4 linked regions of the Drosophila melanogaster genome follow. The protein of the gene in region 1 interacts with the protein of each later gene in a pairwise test. Each region holds a gene or a part of one and is shown on either strand. Other genes may lie near its edges.

Region 1 (4,752 bases):
CTCTTTCGGCGCACCTTCTCGTGCTGTTGCTGCATCCATTTCACCTGCAAGGCAATCATGATTGAAATCTCTGCTCCAACTGGATACTTTTTTAGAGAGTACACACCTCGTTCTCTGATTTAAGGGCGCCCTGATGTTTGCGACTAGAGCGCAGCGAACGCTTCGATACATGGTGATGCTGAAACAGATAGTAGTTGTCCAGCGATCCAATCTATGAAAAATTAAGTAAATTGTATGAGCACCAATTCCATTGCAGCGTTGGACAAACATTCTCACCTGTCCTCTATTGATAAATCCATGTTTGGTAGCTATAACATCTGCCATTTGCTTGCCAGCTGGAATGTTGACGGCGAACTCATTTGTGTATATCGCCTCTTCCGGAATGCTGAAGGCGCCAAACATATCGACCCCGTCGAAGTCGAGGCTATTTGACTGCCGTTCAACAATTTCATCTTTCGCACTGGCATTTGTGTGAGTATTTTCATAGTTATAATCGTATTTGCCGCCGCTAATGGTCTCAGCTTGACCCGCTCTTTCACCTCCCAGGCCAACCAGGTCGACCTTGTGGAGCTCTCTGTCATTACGATAATCAACATCAACATTCGATGATGATGATGATGATGATGATGGGGGATTTGTTCTTCTACTGCTGTGCAGGGACGACACATCATATGTGGTCGTTGCACTATCGTTGCTGAGTATTCCGACATAATTCTGAGTCTCACCCGCACTACTCCGTAGAGCACAACTAGTATTTGGGCTTAGGATTACTAAAAATAATACAAAATATATACAGCTCTGTGCCATTCGGTTAAATGTACATAAATAGATTCTATTGAGTTTTGCCGTTGCCGTTTCTTTTGCTCTTTGTGTTACAGTCGTTCCAGGGTCATGGACTCGCATATGGAGCATCATCTTTCGCCGTCCGATCTTTCGGTACGTTGGCTCTGCGAGAGATTTGGGGCCTCCACAGCGGGAAGGTCGCTGCTTCTCCAAGCCGGACGACCATGGATCTGTGATCTGTGGCGTGGTTCCAATTCTACCGATGGTAACTCGGCTGGACCTCGTCGTATTTGACATATTTAACTAAGTTTAGCTAATGGTATTAAGGTAGTTTGATTCTCCCGAAGAGTCCTTTTGCGACGTTTCCCTTTCCTGTTGTCGTACTCATGAATCTATTTTTTTGATCTCGTATCTCACGATCTAGTATCTGCAAGAGAACACGAAAAAGCACTTCAATTGTAGATTGAATTTGTGTTGTGCGAGAGACCCAAATAAAAACCTTGGACCGGTTAAACGTGGGCTTTTTATAACCAGAGATGCCAAAATGATTCATATATCACAGATATTTATGGCCGAAACGGTTTGTGCTTACTTATTAATGAAGTGCCTATTTGCGATGATCCATTGTTCGTCGGATGACACAACAGAATCACCTGGGGGGAACTACAGGTAAGTGTTAACAATGAGTAAGCCATATATGTACATATCTCTGTACATACATATGTACGTATCTATGCACATGTGTATCCACATGTCATTTGATTCTATTGTTTTCGGTCAGAAAGTCCCCCGAAGTGTAAGATGCAGTGGGTCTGCAATAGGGGAATTATGCATTAGCCCATTCTAATCATGTTTCTAATTAACATATTCACCACTACGGAACCCGAGCTTTTAAATTGAATTAACATTATTATTTATTGAAATAGCATTATACTGAACTCAGTAGCAATTGAAAGCAAAAAAAAAAAGGTATAAACAAATAACGGGAAACCGGGGATATCACTTCATCGAACCCCGCTTGTTTATATGAAAACCCTATTAAAAATCAGAGAGTTACCGTAAACCTGCGACCAAATGAAGAAATTTAATTTTATAATCAAACCAATTAGGCATTGCCAACGCGTTTCCAATTAGAAAATAATATATGTATGTATGTATGCACACGGCGCTGCATATAAATTTATATTATCAATGTTTAAATTTGTGCACGCATCTTTAAATTTTAATGAGTACATGTGTATGTATGTATGCATGTATGCATATGTGTTAGTCAAGTGATATGTTTATCCCATATTTCGATATACATATGTACATAGGATATGCAGTTATGCATGCCCGATATTGCATAGCTAGACGCATATGCTACATGAAAAGGCTATTAAATTATGGCTATGGTATCATATCAACAGTATCATATGTACAGACAACATCTATTCCGGTCTCTGTTTTACTGTGCCATTCGTTTAAAAAAAGAAACATACATATATGGCTGTGTTTGCTTGTAAGGAAATACTTCACTTTGCCGAGCATAATCCTACAAACGTATGCATATGTACGTGTGTATACATGTTTCTGGGCAAGTTCAGCTTGTACATCTCCCATTTTCCATCTCAATCACTCTCGCTGTATTTCCCACATGCTTATTAAATCACACATCTCCACATTTAATCACACTAATTTCGCACTGTGTGCACACTATCAACAAAAAAACAACAACAACAATTAAGCCACCAAGCCAACTTTTTTTTGTATGTATACATTTGCGTCCGATAATGTTTATGTGGCTGTGTGGGTCCGTGGGGCTTTATACACATTTGCAATTTTTATGCGTAAGAGTTGCCATTTCGATGGTGCATACATACATACACCCACAGATGTATGAAATCACGTAATGCAAGCCATGCATTCGTATGCTCTTTGCGTACATACATACATCATTGTGCATCAGAAATGGCAATAGCGATTCATGTAATCCAAAGCATTATATGTACATACATATTTATGCACAAATTGGCTCAAAGCGGTCACATTTAGAAATAAATCACAGATACACTCTTTAAGCTTTATTTAGCTATTGTTAAATCAATGCAATGCTATGCAAACGCAATCGAACAGACTGAAAACTGAAACTGAGACTTGAAAAGCGAAAGAGAACGCATGCTTACCATGCGTACATACAATATAGGAACTAGCCGAAAGCCGAAAGACCAAAAAGCCGACCGAACGAACAAGCGACGCAACCTCGACTGCGCTCCAGCTTAAACTGAACTTTATTTTGAAGTTAATACATATAGCCAACGTTGGTTGTTTCTTTCTCGCTGGATTTGTGCTAACCGCATACACAAACACACGCCAAGTATTAACGTACAAACGAACATACAAACGTACGTACATACAATCGTGCAATCAAACATTCGTACATTGGCAAGTGTACGTATGTTTTTACATAAAGCACAGCTTTCGGAGCTTTCAAAACAAAATGCAAAACATAACACGCAACCGTGCTGTAACAATAAAAAAAAAGAGAAATATCAACTATTACGTACGCACGCATACACCGACGTGCATTTCGTACCACAGCCGATGATAAATACACATTTAAGACGTGTTTCGATAGGAAACTGAAACTTTCGTGCAAGCCAAGTACATACATACACACAAACCGCTGGAAGCTTGTCCATCCATCCATCCATACGTATGTTTGTACCGTACATACATACGTGCGAAGACGCTCTCTAAGCGCTGACATTCAAACAAGAGATAACATTTAGCGGTAGCGCAAGGTTTTCGTTGTTATTGGTTAGCCGAGATTAGCGTTTCCATTTTCCGCTTTTTTGTGACCCGAAAAACAAATGAATCCAGTCGCACAAAATCCCCCATAAATGTTTGGTTGCTTGTATGTATGTATTTAAGCCAAAGATTTTGGCAAATCCCAAATGTATGTACATACATATGCATCTTGAGCCCCGGTATCGCTACACAAACACGCTCGCAAATACAAACAGATGCGAAGGCAACGCGCTACTTTTTAATATCTGCTTCACCATTAAACAATTATTAGCGGTTAGGACAGGTTATGGTTGTTTCCAATGGGAAGTAATACACAAACCTTAAGCAGACGCAAATTGGAAGTGCACTGTAATAAAAAAGGCCTTGGAAGTAATATAAAAATTAAATTATTTATTTCAATTTCGCTTATCGCTGACTTATTTTATGTTGCCGGAAATACGAAAAAACGTATCAAATCGAGCGGGTTTCGGCATAAAAGAAATAGAAAAAATGAATGTTTCCAAAATAAATAAAAATAAATTTCCTGTTTTTCAGCTATATTAAATTATTAGCTTTCTATTCGATTGCTATTTATAGATTTTAATGCCAGTTAGACTTGCGTAACAATAAATAACAATAAATAAAAATAAATAAAAATAAATTGCCTGTTTTTCACCTATATTAAATTATTAGCTTTCTTTTTGATTGCTATTTATAGATTCAAGTGCCAGTTTGACTTGCGTAAAAATATGTTTTCAGATCGGTTTTGCAGTGTTGCCAGATTGGTGGTAGCATAGGTAAACAGCTGTTGAATGATACCGTTAAATAAGATACGAGTTAGATCAAATAAATTTACTAAAATAATGCGATAAAACGAAGCTATTAGAATGATTATTACGATCAAAAGAACTTTGTTTAGAACATTTGGATACAACCTTTTTTATTTGAAAGGGTTTTATGCTTATATGTTTTAATACTTTTTAAATCTTCAAAGCTTTTCATTTCAGCTCATTGCAGTTCCATATCCCCGAATTAATCATAAAACAATTAACCAATTTAAGTTGCTTATGCATTTTTTAATAATATTTGATCGAGCATTAAGCTGTGTGCGTTTCTTAAAGCTTTCACATTTCTGTACAATTTTCGTATAAAACACGTGAGATGAGAACTCTTCCAATACGAATGCCACTAAAATTATAT
Region 2 (4,868 bases), on another chromosome or scaffold:
CTGCGGCAGAAATAAAGCTCATTAAGTAATGAAATAATATAGTATTATAATGCCAGACGACGGGCAATTGTCAAACATATTCGTGTTTGTGTATACAAGGCACCCAATTATAAAGAAATAACATCCAAGTATGAGGGGGCGCCTGATTGGTCGGCCCACATCATCATCTGTCTATATATAAAGCAGGTGACCTTTCCTCCAGAAAAGCGTGTGGGTGGCGTTTTCTGCTTTTCCGCCCAGGGGGGGTTTCTCTCAATTACAGATCTTCGCAAAAATAGCCAGAAACCAAAACAAAGGAGAGTCGAACCGCAACATCAAAGCGAAATGGTACTGCATTTGCATTTGGGGTGAATTTATCAACAAACAGCCATACAGCTGAGGTCACAATATTGATAGATTAAAAGTGAAAATACATCTAAGGAAATGGATCAATATTTAAATGATGAAACATGACTCTGAGATAGTAAAATAGTATTCCGTTTGAGATATTCGATTTATAGGTAAAAGTATTGCAATTTGTATCGATGTAAAAACAGTTCTTTGAGAATTTCCTAGTTCTTGGCGGCAATAGATTAGGTGTCCGAAATAAGCAATACATTTCGCTTGTCTTGAAAAATGAAAAGGCATTTATTTTGACCGCAATTGTAGACACAAATCTCTATTTTTAAATCGACGACCCCTGGCACGAGTTTTGTGAATTGCAGCAACAGAAGCAGCGGCAAAAAAAAAACAACGCAAAACAAAATTGAAAACGCCAAGGGAAAAAAACGACTGAAACTAAACACCAGTCTCTCCCCCTTCCCTCTGTCATCCCTGAATGACTGACTGACTAAATGACTGACTGGCTAAATGACTCTGACTGACTGTCAGTTACATGCGACTGCATCCGACGCAGTCAACTTGACAACATTTGCTGCTCCCTCGGTGCACATAAAAAAAAATGAAGGGAATTATGATCAAATTTAATTGCATCGGCCTACTAACACAGGTCCATCAAGATTTTACATCGTTTGTGTTTATGAGAAATAATAGAACAGGCATTACTTGGCATTCGATATTCTATCCCTAATGTCTCCTTTTCGCTATATTACAACATAACGAATATCAACCGATGCCACATCCTGTTGCAATTTTTAATTTCAAAAACCATAATTCATATCCGAATAAAACTTTTATTTAACGTGTATATGTACATATGTATCTGTCTCTACTGCAGAGCAGCTGTCCCGCTCTTTCGGCTATTATCAAACCACATCCGTTGGGCAGCAGCAGAGATGATGTGCAAACAATACAAAAACATATCAACCTAAGCTAAAGTTTGAGCCACTGAGCATAGCTCCCCACGTAAATTATTTTTTTTATGCATTCCCCCATCATTCGCCAGTGGGTAAAGGAAGTGGGGGGCGGAGCTTTTGTTTTGCATACAATGGGAGCTGATAAATGATTTCTAGGGGCACTCCGCATAAATGGATGATAAAGAAACGAAAATATAACTGGGACTGCAACTGAAATGATCTCAAACTGATTCACCTTTAAATTCATAGCTTTAATTCGTTATCTTTCACCTGCGAAACAAATTATATACATCACTTAAGAATACCCTACACCATTTGTTCCCAAGCATAAGTATACCAATTTTGAATGCTTTTTAATTAGCATATAAATTCTCGAAACTCCCAAAACAAAGCTTCTCCAAGCTTGGCAGTTCCCATATGATTCATTTATAACTTGTAAAAAATTCCCGACTTTTATCGATTCCTATTCCTTCCCCACCAAAAGAAGGTGTTTTATTTCTGGACTCCACTTAGGCGTAAAGTTTCCATACCATTGCATTTTTGCCCATAATCATTGTTGACATTTCCTTGTGAATCGACACCAAGACACTACAGTAATCCCTCTCCACACAAAACCAGATCAAGTACACAGCAACTAGTTTTCAGGGTTGAAAATTCTCGGACAAAAAAAGGTGCGCATTATCGATAATTATCCATGTCGTTGATTTAAGGGCGAGGGTCAATAGTAATAAAATTCAAGCCATTAATGTTTTTATCTTATCAGGAGTTTGTTACCGATGTATTGCTTATTGCAGAAATATGATGTACTTGTTTTAAATATATTGTTAAAAAAAAACATTTCAATGTATCAACGTTCGAGTGACCACTGTAAGGGCAGGATAAGAACCAATAGATCTAAAGTGCGCTCCTTTCTAATCCGGCCTGATGGATTGCGTTGTTTTTTTTTACCATTTGAGATTGGCTTTTGTTCCTTGAGAAATGTTGCTGAGATTTCCACGGATGCACTGCTTGGGTTTTCCTATCCGTTATCCTCTTCTCGTCGGTTCGCTTTAATTTACACGTCTCCTTTAATGGCTTCTGGTGTTTTATTTTTACACCCAAGTGCAGTTCAATGGGTGGTGGGGGTGTTGTATAAGTAAAAGGCAAGTAAAATCGATATTCCTGCTGCTCTTTTTTTGTACTGGGCTTCTGTGTTCTGGCCGCTATACCGTTGTTCAGCTTCCTGGGAACGATGAGTCAACGGGACATAGAGAAACACACCCAGTAGCAGTAGAGGTGGGGGGGTTAATATTGGTATTTGTTCTCCGGTTAGTGGTAAGTGGTGAATCCTTGGTCCGCGAAGAAGGGTTCGTTGCACTACGTCTATGCGTCTGCCTGGCAATCTCCTCTTTGCTCTCGTGCTTTAGCACGTCTTCCCTACTATTTATTTGTTTTCACTTTTATCTCTTTTCCTTTTGCTAATGCTGCACTCGCACACACGTAAACGGCAATTTTCGGGATACCGCTTGCATTTTCATTCGCTTGGCTGAAAATCTCAACATGAGATATCCATGTTATTACAAAAACATTATACAAAATTCACATTCGGGGGTTTCTCTACTTGGAAAAGGGGAGCGTAGGGGGCGCAGAGCGTAAAACGCGCGCGAGACACACACACAAAGCTCTCGGTAGAGAGACACGCGACGCAACCGCCGCCAACAACAGTCGAAGACGAACTCTGCCCGCTTAGAACAAACGACCGCCCGAAACCCCATCGTCTGTATCCAACTCTCGCTTACTCTCTCCCACACGCTCTCTCTGTCGGGGATCCACTCTCTGTCATTAAGAACGCAAGCATTTTCGGGGGATGTTCTTACTCGACGGATGTAACTGTAGCATCCCCGTTCTCTCAATTGCACTCTCTCGTTCGCTTTTCTCAGGTACTCAAGTTTTCGACCGTGGGAACTTCTAGCAAAACACCCACTATGGTTTTACACCTTGCGTGAAGGTATATTGGTTGCATCGAACAAGTTCAAAAACACAGTTAACATTAACAATGCATTCCAATATTGGTTCCGAATTTAAAACACCTACATATTCTCACAATTTATAGTCAATAAACTTAAAATAGAACTTTTTCCAGATAAACTGTCAATTTACCATTGAATTGGTAATTGATTTTATTTCTTTTGCACTATGGTAACTTGGCCTTTTAAATCAATTTAAACAAATTTCTTTAAAACTTCTTCCTAGTGACTGTTGACACGCTAAATATAAATAAATAAGTTTCTTAAAATAAATACACGGTATATATATGTCGTATCAGAACAAACATAAAAATCTTACTTGCTCTGGCCATTCGCGCTCTGTTTATGTTTTTTCTGATGAGCAATTGACTGTTGGCTTGTTTGTTTCTAATCAGAACTCTCTCTCAACTCTCTCTGTCAATTTTAGTATTTTTTGGTATATATTTACACTGACCCCCACAATAGCATTTGTCTTCATTATAGCTTCACATTTATCAATGGAATTTATGGGCCTCCTAAACCTGTAGGATTTTATTCCAAATTTTTGATTAATGCCAACAAAGAAATTTAAATAATTTTCTTCCATGTTTTGTTTGGCTTTTTAGGCTATCATTTGACCAACCGTTCAAACATGTGAACTGGAATGACATAATTATGGAAATGGGAATACCTGAGTGTTGTCTGGTATTTGGTAACGATTTAAAGAAAGCTGGCGGGGAAATCAATAAGCAGAAATATTAATAAAACGTGCATTTACGTAAGCGCCAATCAAACGATGCCTGCTGTTTTGTTTGTTGCTTGTAGACATTGGATAAATATTCGAGACCATGAGCACGTCAATTGATCAATTAGCGAATGCAACAAGTTTCAATACAAAAAAAGGCACTGATATTTGTTATGCACTTGGTGATGCTGATAACGAATTTTATATAAAGCTAGAAAAAGAGATCAATTAAAGATTGACCCTCAATGTGCTTCATGATGTTGGTGTCAAAATAATACGGTTTAAAGCTATAGTAAATTTATTTAAAATTATTGCTGTTCTCCCTATCAGAAAGTATGGAGAATAATATTTTAAAACGTAAACGTCATAATATATATTTAGATGAAAAATGTTGTGCTCCAAAACTTTAGTCATACGAAAAAACCGCTCTTGTGTTGTGATCGTGATAATAAATATCACAAAAATTATAAATTAAATTATAAATTATAAATTTCTTTAATTCGATTTTTCGGCACCACTCTAATCAAAATGTTGCAACATATTTTTCATTAACTTAGTCTACGGACTATTTGACCAAATAATTAGCAGACCTGGGCAAAAAGCCTCCACACAAAGTTCGGTGCTCTGCGAGATACTTTCAAAATGACTTTCTATGCATTTCCCTGTTACTTTCTACGCTTGCTATATACTAGAGTACATGAACAAGATAATGGTTTAGCTACTCACCAAACTGTCGGCCACATTTTGACTCATTATAGTCTGCAGCGTTGACGATGGCCAGATGCTGCAATTACTTCAAGGTGCGTGCTGCTCAAAATCTGGTGCGATGCAATTTCCGATGGT
Region 3 (4,958 bases), 7.0 Mb from region 1:
AACGAGTACATCAATTGTTTTCAAGCCAGTTTTATAGTGAACAAAAAAAAGTAGCCTTTATGTTAGTACGCTAAGTTATAAACTAGTTGTTGTCAAAACGTCTAGAAATCGAAAGTCAAAAAACTTTACACGGTTTACAACATTCAGACTGGCTGTTTTGTATCTTAAGCAGCTATTACAAAATTACATATCCATTCTACGTTCGTACTCAAATCGATTCGCATGTCTTTCTAATAAATAAGTTGTCACATTTGATCTTAATGCTATGGACCTATGACCTATCGACCATCAGCTACCCCCGCTTTGATGACAAATAAATGAGGCTTATGGCGGGACAGTCTGACAGCCGTAAAGAAACTGCTAGTGTAAGGGAAGTGCTTAAGTCTTGGGCTGAGGCAGATACTCTCTCGTCGTCCGGTGCTGTCGGTGCTAACCTAACTTAACTAGGGCTCTTAGTTAGTTGCTGCTGCTGCTGTAGACGCTGTGCCTGCGAATGTTTGGCTAGTCGCTCGTCTTCAATCGCTTCACGGGTCCATCGCTGCCCTGCGAGTTCGAGTCCTCAGAGAAGGGCATACTCGACACGAAGTCGGCGCCCTGGCTGTCGGACACGACGGAGAAACCTGTGTACAGATAGAGATCGCATGAATAAGACAGAGTAAACATGTGCTTTGGAGTGATAAATTGTGCTGAATAGGAAATACGCTTTGAAGCCAAAAACCAAATGTAAACAATATCGCTAATGCAAAGACAGCAATTTTTATAGCAGCTCCGCAAGCTTATGAGACTAATGGCACCTCGTAAAGGTCCTAAAATCCATATACTGCATCCTGTTTTTTTGTTTTGGCTCCTAACGCAGTGCTTGCAGACATAGAACCCAACTACTTATTTAAAGAGAACCAGCACATAGCCATCCTTACAGGTGTTAGAGTCCTCGGCGGTTAGTCCCTGGTAGCTGGGCGTGATCTGCGGCGGCGTGGGCGTGCCCTTCTGAGAGTTCTCCTTATCGCTCTTGCTGCCGCCGACCGGCGTAACGCCCGAGCCGGGGGGCGGTCTCCGGACAGCAGCCGATCCCGGCGAGGACTCCAGCTTGGCCTTCTTCTCACTGGCGGAGGCGATGGGCACCCATTTGTAGATTTTCATGGTGGTGTCGCTGATGGTCACCCACTTCTTCTCCCAGTGGCGCACCTTGTCCACCGCCTGCATCACCCGCTTGATGTCATCCTTCGCCCGGCTGCGCGTCTCCGCCCGCACGCTGCGCGACATGTCTGTGGGTCGATGGCGCCTGGTCTGGCTCTTCCTGCTTTAATCGCTTTTCCTCCTTAGCCAAAGTCGGCGTCACACGAAAAGCCGCTAAGTGTTTTCGCTACTTCTGGCTGCTTCACAACTGAACTCTCCCCGTCTGGCTTTTAAGTGGGATCGTGTCTCGTGATTTTGGCTGGTCTCGACCAGTTAACCAGTGGATAGTTCAGTTTTTTTGGCAATTCGCAAAAATATTTTTTAATACAACAAAAATAAGTAATCGATAGCAAGCGTGATTTTCAACTGATGTTATCGAATGATTGCCCGTTGTTTTCACGGGCTGCAGTGTGACCATTGGCTAAAGGTCCGTGCTAAAGTGTGATAGCTTATTAATTCGTGTATGATTTGTAACTCAAGTGCTTAATTTTTGAGCTGAGCTAAATTATTAGCCGTTTGTTTTTGAACAGCTACAACCGTTAAATTTTTAAATAATAATTTTGAACTGTTAGTCCAACGGTTTCTATTATCTGGCAACGCCAATGTTGCCAAATGGTATAATCTAGTATATTTTCGTGTACCATCGTGAGAGTGATGGGCGAAATATCGATGCGCGATGAGTATCGATTTGTCGATTCTTTATCATCGACAACATATCGATATCACAATGCTACGATGTCACTTCGATGGCTCGATGGTTTTTCGATGTTTTTCCACCGACCGACGAAATTATGCGTACGCTCCGCTTATTTTTTATTTATTTTTTCGTAATGCGAACCGAACGTTCGCCGCCCATTAGAATGGAATGAAAAGTCGCACAAAGCCGGGAAAAGTGAAGTTATTTACGCGAATTGAAACTCGCAGTGCGTGCGAGCGAGAGCGATAATTAAGATGAAAATGCAGGCGACGCCGAAATAAAAAACAAAAAAAACGTTGCAGCAACAACGTGCGTGTGCGAATGTATGTGTGTGCGTGCGTGAATGTGTGTGTCTGCTGGTATATGTGAAGAGCCAGGCGAACGAGCAAGAGGGTGATAGGAGGACGAGGAAGAGAAGAAGAAGAAGCAGCGGTGGAAAAGAGAACGAAGAAAAGTGGGGAAAGACGAAAAAGGCAAAACGACAAACGCACACGAAATTGAAAATAGTTGTACGAAAATCAGGAGAAAGCCAGCGATCTTATTTTTTTCTTAAATTTTCCCCCTGGATAATTGATATTAGAAATGTGTGCGTAAGCTAACACCGATACTAACACCAATGCAAACGCAAGGCTAGAATCGCTCCTCGCCCGAAAGAGAAAAAGAGAGAGAGAGAGAAACGCAAACAAATTGGAATAAATTATAGAAATTTAAAATAAAGTAAACAACTCAAATGGCAGGAATTTAAACAAAAGTAAACAAGGGGAACGAGCGATATAAATTAGTTCAACATTTCGGAATTTAAGTTAGAGGAATCTATGTTAGTGTGATATTTTATTTCATTCTATGTTGTCATTTGATAAGTTAAACATTTTACTTAAATGTGCAGCAATATGCTAATTAGCACTAAACATTTTATTTTATTCAATCATAAGTATTCATTTTTTTAAGTGAGATTCTTGGGACTCAGCAGTAAATATAATACGAATTGATAGCGAATGTATGAAATGCGAGTGTAATGTGTCATTTGAAATTGTGATTTTTTTTTCAAGTGAAAGTTAAGTGAAATATTTTTCTTGAGTGTACCTAATCAGTTTCATTTATAAATTTATTTCTGCAATTTCCCCAAAACAGCAGCCGCTTCAAAAGCCAGAACTTTGAAAAGTCGAAGCTGAATTTTCCCCGAGTTTTCCCGATTTTCCGTTTCCCGCGAATCTGAAAGCCGCGCTGCCGGCGTCGCTGTCTCTGCCGCCGTCGACGTCGTCGATCCCGTTTCACGCGTCGCCGCTTCGTCTCGCCGTCTCGCTTGTTTCCCGCCCCCTCTCTCTCTGCCCCTCGCCCGACCCCGCCACCCGACCCTCCTACCAAAAGTACCCCCCCCCCCCAACCAAAAAAAAAAATAAAATCATCCTTAAACAAAATATAAAAGATACGAAATAAAACAACAAACACACAGAGAGAGAGAGCGAGTGAGATAGATAGATTGAGAGAAAGCCAAGTCAAGAAACGTCATCAAGCGGCAGCAGCAACAACAACAACAGCAGCAAGCACAACAACTGCAACTGCAACCAAAACGGCAACCTCATCAGCGACAGCAGCAACAAAAACAAAACGCATTTCATTGCCAAGAAGAAAAAAACGGTCAACGACACTGCAACAACATTGGCCAACAGCAACAACAACAAATCAGCAATACTGAGAGACTGCACTAGCAACAACAACAACTGAAACAACAACCAACAAATAGGAAAATAGGAAAATGCCCAAATGCGATGTGAAAACGCGCTACATTCCTGCGACTTTCGCCTGGATTGTGCTGCTTCTGACCACATTTCTCTTCTTCTTCTATCCGTAAGTAGCCATTTTAATGATAAAATAATTATAAGTTAATATAACATTCAACAGTTTAGTTCAGAAACCTTAAAAAAATGACCAAATACCTTTGAGTTTCTTTCGACTGAATTTCATTTCCATTGTCACAAAAGTAGTGCAATCTGCGAGTGGGTGCTATATATCACTAAATATATATGGTTAGTTTGCGGTGGCTTCGCGAGAAGTTCATGAATATTGAATGTGCCTTAGGCGGTATTCACTGTTGCCACACACGCGTACTTTCCTCTCTCTAGACCCCCCCCCCCCCCCCCACCCTCGTGGAGCGGCGTAATCAAAGACGACCCTTCGGCCTTCGTCTGCCAGCCAAAACCATAGAAAACCAGCCCAGCCACCCACTCAGCTTTCCACCCACCACCCACCATTGGCCCCACCCACATTATTTTCTTAGTAGCTTGCAGTTTTGTTGCTGGCACTTTATTTATTTTGCTCGCATTTTCGTGGATTATAACGACGAGCCGTAATGCATTATTATATGTGGGACAGCAGCTTTGTTGTTATCCAGTCTGGCCCCATTTACCACACCGCCCCCCCCCCCCCTAATTTTCCTTGTCTTAGTCATCTCTCAGTGGCCATTTTACTGCCCCACCGCCGGCATCTCCACCTCACACCGCCCCCGCCCCCCCACACTTGGCACTCAATTTGCAGTTTGCTCTGTGCGGTTTTTTCGCTCCTTTTTGCATTTTGCTGGTTTTTTTTTTTGCGCAAATTGTTTTCGTGTATTTTGGTCGTAAAAAGAATTTCAGTTTTCAAAATGCCGGGGGAAAAATGGATGAAAAAAAAATATGATGATGATGCACGTGGCTCGAGGGTCTGGCAGATTTTCCGTCTATGCCAGGAATACATATGTCACGGTAATTAGATGAAAAACTAGCATATGTTCAATATTTCATATTTCAAAAATATATTTCATGGAGCTAATGCAGCTTTTCCAAAAAACAAAAAAAACATGATAAGATTTGCTGTTTTCGTAATTAATTTGCGGTTTTATCTGAGCACATTATATTACTGCATTATTTATATAATAACATTATTATTAAAATCGTGAAACCTCCGCATGGTATAAACATTTTTTGCTTGTTTTTTTTTTTTTTTTTTTTTGAGACAACTAGAAGGCCAAGGGAGCAACAAATTTGCATAGCATGTGCACAATTAGCACATGAAACGAAACCAAAATAGCAATTAAGCAGTCTGTTTG
Region 4 (6,587 bases), on another chromosome or scaffold:
GCTGTTAATTATAATTGCACAAGACAATGTCGTTGCTCTTGAGCCATTGTAATAAATACTAGGTAGCATAATTACTGGGGAATGGCCTGGCCAACTGGGCTGTTCTGGCCAATTGGAACCTAACACGGCTAACTTAAACTAGATTTGCCTGCAAAAGTGTGATGCAAATTAAAATTAAGACAATTGCTCAAAAGACTTTGGTCCAGTTGGACGCAATTAAATATTTATAAATAGAAAATATGCAATGATAATTACCAATTTATACCAGTTGAGTTAAATTAACCATTCGTTTTATGTTCTTGTGCCATAAAATAGAAATTTAGAATATGATCAAACTGTTTATACATAAAATTATAGTTATGGCCACTTTCCTACTTTCTGTAGAGAACAAAATACCAGCATAGCGTTTTAAACCCCGATAACCTGTTGCGCGCCAATGGTTACAGGTTTCAGATAAGCATCGATGTTATTAACATGAGTGCGTGGGTGCTAACAGCTCTAACAGGTGGATTTCATGTAGAGAGATAACATTGATTGAAAGTCACGATTTCTGATCATTAGTTTCTTTATTCGTTAAACAGTACACATAAAGAACGAACACATTTACACACAAACAAAAAAGCAATCAAAACTCGTTTTGTTCAGCTGAACAACAATTTTCGATCATACATTATTACAATTACTTATCAATTATAACCAAGTTAGCAGCCCTTCAAAGCAAAGCGCGACTTTTAAACGGATTCTCCGCCAAGTTTATACATTTGATATCTATGCTACGTTTGATCATTACAATAGGAGTATTTAACTTAAGATTAGAATACGCTTAATATAATGCTAACTGAATGCAAGACAAAGAACCTACACTTATGTATATATGGGGTATCTAAATAACTCGGGGCATGCTAAACAATAGGTTTTAGCCATTTATTAGTGTTCGTACATTTAGTTTTCAAATGAAATCATTTAAAAATAGTTTGATTTACAAAAACTAGAAGCTACATAAAAACCGCGTCACGATCTCGCGGCACTCATAATGAGATGCTTTTGCTTGGCGCCAGAATGAACGAATTCAAATAATTGCCATGGGAAATCTGGTGGGGGAAAGTTATTCGGAGACTACTTAACCAAATATTAGTACGTAGGTAATATATGCATAATGAATAATAATCCGGCATGAATGCTGGGTGTGCGGTAGTGGTGTGTGGCGTGGGTGGATTTGTGTATGAATAGGACATGACCGGAACGTATCTAAATTATCGCTTATCTACTGCAGATATAGCCTATGATAATCGTTGGCGCCGAAGGCGCAGTTGCATTTGGGACACTTCCGCTGCCGCGTTTCATATCTAGTGCGCAGGCAGTCGTAGCAGAAGACGTGGAAACACTTTGACAGGACAGCATCCTTCCGCTTCACCTTGCACGAGGGACACGTGAGCGTTTCTTTGTATTCGCGGATCTCCTCAATCATCACCTCGTCGATGGTGGTGCCCGACATTTCCATCTTCTTCATGCGCTCCGCCTTGCGTTTAAACTGCGCCAGCTCCTCCTGCAGCCGCTTGGTCTTGTAGGCCTCCGCCTCCAGCGAACTGGTCTTCTCCGCCACCACTTGCTGCGCCTCCTTCATTTGCGCGTGATACTTTTCCAGATGCAGCTTGAGGTCCGCTGCCGATTGCGCCGATTCAATCGCCTTGCGTTTGTGCATCTCCATTGCTTGCTGCCGCAGCATCAACTCTTTCTCAATCGACGCGACGGTGGCCTGCAGGCTGCGTTCCTTCTCCTCCAGCTTTCGCAGCACAATGTGCATGGCTTCGATTTGCGTGGTCGCCGTTGCCATCTGATCCTCCAGCACCGTCTTTTCCTCTCTCAGAAGTTTGTGCAGCTGGTTGGCCTTGATGCGCTCCGACATTAGCTTAAAGTTCGCATCGTCCTTCTCACGCAGCTGTTGTATGAGCCGGGAGTTCTGCTCCTGCATGTCCTCGAACGCCTGGCCGGTAACCTCCATCTCGTTCAGCAGTGCCTCCTCTTCGTGGGAACCAACAAACGGTCGCGTGTAGTTCGCTGTGCCGGGGGCTCCACTGCCCCAAGAATTATCCGTTGGCTTGTGGTTGGCCATCTGTTTTTGCAGCTCGTACTTCTGCTCCTCCAATTGCTTAATCTTACGTAACGCCTCCTCGTCGGCCAGCTTCTTGCGTTCCTCGCGCTTGCTTTCCTGCAGCTTCTTCAGCTGCTGGCGGAGCTCCTCGATCTCGGAGCGCAGTTTCTTTTCGGTGGCCATCAACTGGACCTTGTCGCGCTGATCCTTCGATACGCCTTTGTACATATCCAGCAGGAGTTTCATTTCTTTCTGGTCGTTCAGTGCTTTTCTGTAAATCAAACAATGTTAAATAGATAATCGTAATTGCTGAACAAACTTACTTTAGTTGCGCCTTCAGATCGCGCACCGTTTCACTTTCCACTGCCTTCACATCCTTGCCCTTGACACCATCCTTGGAATCCTTTTCGTTTTTGACGGGAACAGAATTGGTCGCAGAACTTGTTGAGTTTCCGGGTCCAGGGGAATCCTTCTTCTCAGCTGCCGCCGCGTCTCCAGAACTGAGCTTCTCCTGCTTGATGCCGTCTTTTACGTCCTTACCACTGGCCTCGTCATCAGCTTCATCTTCAGCCGAGATATGGTTCTCCTCCTTGATGGCTACGTTGGTATCGTTGCCGGAATTTGTTTGGTTTGTTTGTCCACTGGCGGAAACGTTGTTGGAGTTCTCCTCCTTCACACCTGTTGAGTTCTCCTGCTTGATTTCTTCGCCAGCCGCACCAGTCGCCGCCTGCAACTTGTTGCCTTCGAGTGTAGCTAGTGCATCGGCCAGCTCCTGACGCAGCTTCAAGTTGTCCGTGGACGTGTCCTTGTACTTTCGCTTGTAGCGCTGCACCTCACCCTTCAGTTGGCCATTGTGGTTTTGTAGAGAGGTGATCAGGTGGCGCATCTCGCGATTGATGGGTGCCGTCTGCTCGTTGGCTGCCATGTTCTGCTCGAACTCAATGCGTAGCGTTTCGTACTCCTTTCGGATGAGGGCTAAAACGTCCTCCATCTGGATCATCTCGCTGCGCACCTTCTTCTGGGCAATAAGTTCCTCGCTCTCCATCACTTCGATTTGTCGCAGATGCTGGTTCTTGCTCGTTTGAAGCTGGTTTCGGGTCTCGTCCAGCATGGTCTTTATCTGCATGGACTCGTTGTAGAGCACGGAAAACTGGCTCTGCAGGCACTTGTACTCCGTGGTTTCCACAATTACCGATTCCGGCAACTGTCGTATCTGGAATGGATTTTAAGGATGAATCAGTATAATACAAAGAAAATATAAACGAAATGACTAACTATAATTAGCAATGCTCCAGATAAGCTAATACATTATTCATTCAAAACTTACATCCATTTTAAGCTTCTCCACCTCCTTCAGGGTTTCGCGATGCGTGGCGTGAAGCTTATCCAGCTCCTGCAGTCGGTTGTTGGCCAGTTCGCGGTACTCCTCCAGCTCCTTTTGCAGCTCCTCCAATAGCTGGCTATTAACGCTGGTGGTGGCGCCGCCGCTGCCTGTGGTAGTTGGTGTCTTGGCACTATTAGTGCTCTTATTGGGATCACCGTAAATCTGGTGGTAGGCCTTCAGCTTTTCAATAGCCTCGGCCAAGTGGTTCTCCAGCTTATCATTCCGGCAATGGATCTTCTCTAGGTCATATTGCAGTTCGTCTATCTGGTTCTTCAGTTCGGCGTTCTCCGTCTCCTTGGCGGTATGAGCGTCCTGGTACTCCTTCATCTTCAGCGACATGGTGTGGAACTTCTCGTGCAGCGAGGTATTCAGATTCTGCAGCTTGTGATTTTCGCTCATGATCTCGATGTGCGTTTGCTTCAGGGTTTCCTCTAGCGCATGGACACCGGCCGATGACGTTGTGGTCTCCGCATCGCCGCTGGCCTGCTGCTGCTCCTCCTCGCCGCCAGCTCCCGCTCCTGAACCGGAGCCAGCTGAAGCCAGACTATCACCTTTCAAGACATGAGTTATCTTTTCATTGCGTTGCATTAACCTATCAATAACCTGTACGATCTTGGCGACCGCCCTTTTGGACACTTGGACGCGGTTGGCCAGCTTCTCGTCCAGCTCCTCCTTGTCCCAGGTGGACAGTTGGGCGAGAAACGAGGTGGTCACCTCGTTCTCATTCCGGTTCTCCAGTTCGTCGGCCGTCTCGGCATCGAAGCGCTGCAGCAGGACTCGTATGTCCTCGTTCAGCTGATTCCAATACCGATTGACCACGTTTAGAACGGCGTCGTCCTGCGTTTGCCGCTTTTCCAGCTGCTCGATTCGATGTCGCAGCTCCGCCTCCGTTCGCATCCGCTGTTCGATGCGCTGTGCTAGCTTCTTGTTCTGGAATTCCAGCACCTTGATGTCCATCTCCTCCAGCGTGGACACCGGCCCAATCAGATGGGGCTCGAAGTGCACCTTCTTGATGGGCGGCTGGCCGGCGGCTGCGGCGGCCACCAAGCAGCTGCTGCCGGTGGCGTCGTCGGCGCTCCGTTTCGACATCCTTGCACTGCGGAAAACAAGATTAGGACTGATTTCAGTTGTAAAAACAATTGGAGTGTTGAAAATTATTGATTTGCCCATTCGTGGCTGTACTCCATTTTTTATCGTGTGCGGCGGAGGCGGTGGCGGTAGAGGCGTAACGCTCCCGCCACTGCCAACATCGCCATGCCTTCGGTGTACTCAAAATCTAGATGGTGGTGGGCCACTTACCTTAATCTCGGGTTTATACACTTTTAACTTAACATTAATTAAGGTTTTCTTTTGCTTTTCTACGTTTTGCCTGGCTTCATCAATATCGAATGCGGGCTGCGGTCACACCTGGGAATTTTCACAGCAGCACGGTAACACTATTTGCAATACTCCCTCGCATTTGCGTTCACGTTATCGATAACTATATGTCTGTGCTTAGCGGTAAATATCGAATAGAGGCAGGTAAAACTAAAAATACTAGATTCAAAGCGGGAAATTTAAATTCACGAAAATTAAGCAAAAGAAATATATGATTAACTATTTCGAATAAAATGAACAATTTAAAAATGCATTAAAAAGCCATAGTTTTGGTAACTGGAAATCGAAAGTGAATTTCAATTTATTAAGTAATTTGGGATCGAACACGAAATGCACATGCATCTAATAATTAGATTTTAATTTGATTATTGGTGGCTGGGCTGTGTGGCGACTACTGGACTGGTGCTGTACTGGATGTAGTGCTGCCCGACTAAAATGTTTGGTACTTCAGGGCCTGTCGCAGGGTCATGCAGTCGACCTCGTCGATCTTGCAGGTGTTCGCCTTGATGTTGATCTCCTCCTCCTGCATCACCTGGACGTGCATCAGGTAGCGCATGGATGCCTTGTTCTCGTTCAGCTTCTGATTGAGCTTGCATACGGATGCCTTCAGCGCCTGCAGTTCGTTGTAAAGCGCATCCTGGACCATGTCGCAGGTCAGCTCCAGGCCAGGACGATGGGCGCGATTGCTGAGCCGCGTCTGGCACAGTGTAATGGCCCGCTGCTTGTCCATCATCTCCTTCTCCAGCTCGGTCATGTTGCGCTGCACCTGATGGATGTGATCCATGGTGTCCTTGTGCTTGTTCTCCAAACACTGTTTCACGTGCTTCGTCTCCGAGATCCTTCGCTCAAAGGCCTCGTTGGTCCTGTCCGTCTGGTTCTGCATATCCTCGCACACCTGCTTCAGCAGCAAATCGATGTAGGCCCGCAGCTGCCCGGCGGACACCAGCGCCTTGGCGTTGGCCTCCAGATTCTCGTACGTCTGCGCCTGCCACTCGGTCAGCGAAAATTGGCTGGGTAAGGAAGAGAAGGGGGTAAAGGCATGGTGGAGTCATGGCAACTATCAGGTCGATTTGAGTGGTTGTAAATAAATCACTTAATTCCAATGCACTAAAATAGACTCAGGACAACTCTATCCCATATCACCAAGGAAACTGCGGTTTCATTGTTAGGTTTGACCTTCCTCAATTCCATTCCTAACTGAAAAGGGGAACAACTACTTGACTTTGTAATGGAATTTGTGGATAAGACTCTAGTAAAATGTTTATCCTTTTAAACTCCTTGTACTGATGAACACCGAAATGACTTACGCATAAAAGTGAAAGAAAAAAGATTAATAATCAATCCACTTCATCATTCCTTAAAAAGGAAACCCCAACATGTGTGATTGACATGCAACCTAGTTTTCAAAAACCTACCAATGCTGTTTGGACAAATCCTGTCCCTTAGCCAGGTCGTGCTGGAACTCCTTGAGCTTCAGGTTCTTCTCGTCGATGGCCAGTGACTTATCCTTGGCGGCCAGATCCTGATCGAGCAAATAGATGGCGGCGCGCAGCTTGCGGATCTGCTCCTCGGCTTCCTTGAGGGCGGCATCGGCCAATCCCTGACAGCCCTTGATCACCTTGAGCTCACGGCGCAGCGAGCGATCCACCTCGTCGTCGCACAAATCCACACCGATCCGACCTTCGCGTAGGATCAGGCACTGCTTGCAAATGGCCAGCGACTTGTCCTTCAGGA

The links.
Region 2: the proteins of Fur2 (region 1) and Rgl interact in a two-hybrid assay, tested with the Drosophila melanogaster proteins (one large-scale study listed by BioGRID).
Region 3: the proteins of Fur2 (region 1) and Zdhhc8 interact in a two-hybrid assay, tested with the Drosophila melanogaster proteins (one large-scale study listed by BioGRID).
Region 4: the proteins of Fur2 (region 1) and Bre1 interact in a two-hybrid assay, tested with the Drosophila melanogaster proteins (one large-scale study listed by BioGRID).

Annotation. Positions count from the first base shown.
Region 1 is NC_004354.4:16,371,384-16,376,135, reverse strand, and holds the start of Fur2 (furin 2), read right to left. Parts: upstream 3,051-4,752; 5' UTR 2,949-3,050; intron 2,915-2,948; exon of another isoform or gene 2,713-2,914; intron 2,507-2,712; exon of another isoform or gene 2,302-2,506; intron 1,596-2,301; exon of another isoform or gene 1,376-1,595; intron 1,211-1,375; 5' UTR 1,081-1,210; coding exon 277-1,080; intron 212-276; coding exon 107-211; intron 45-106; coding exon 1-44. Other genes in the region: nonA (no on or off transient A), read right to left, coding at 4,589-4,752. UniProt on the Drosophila melanogaster protein: Furin is likely to represent the ubiquitous endoprotease activity within constitutive secretory pathways and capable of cleavage at the RX(K/R)R consensus motif.
Region 2 is NT_037436.4:13,916,948-13,921,815, forward strand, and holds the start of Rgl (Ral guanine nucleotide dissociation stimulator-like), read right to left. Parts: upstream 3,019-4,868; 5' UTR 2,247-3,018; coding exon 2,244-2,246; intron 1-2,243.
Region 3 is NC_004354.4:9,353,225-9,358,182, reverse strand, and holds the start of Zdhhc8 (zinc finger DHHC-type containing 8), read left to right. Parts: upstream 1-1,955; 5' UTR 1,956-2,068; exon of another isoform or gene 2,069-2,196; intron 2,197-3,004; 5' UTR 3,005-3,629; coding exon 3,630-3,721; intron 3,722-4,958. Other genes in the region: BCL7-like, read right to left, coding at 502-620, 918-1,263. UniProt on the Drosophila melanogaster protein: Palmitoyltransferase that catalyzes the addition of palmitate onto various protein substrates and therefore functions in several unrelated biological processes. Regulates tissue growth possibly by regulating Ras64B protein stability.
Region 4 is NT_037436.4:5,789,281-5,795,867, forward strand, and holds Bre1 (Bre1), read right to left. Parts: upstream 4,913-6,587; 5' UTR 4,776-4,912; intron 4,573-4,775; 5' UTR 4,566-4,572; coding exon 3,420-4,565; intron 3,306-3,419; coding exon 2,416-3,305; intron 2,364-2,415; coding exon 1,265-2,363; 3' UTR 551-1,264; downstream 1-550. Other genes in the region: Tektin-C (tektin C), read right to left, coding at 5,284-5,863, 6,269-6,587. UniProt on the Drosophila melanogaster protein: E3 ubiquitin-protein ligase that mediates monoubiquitination of 'Lys-117' of histone H2B. H2B 'Lys-117' ubiquitination gives a specific tag for epigenetic transcriptional activation and is also prerequisite for histone H3 'Lys-4' and 'Lys-79' methylation.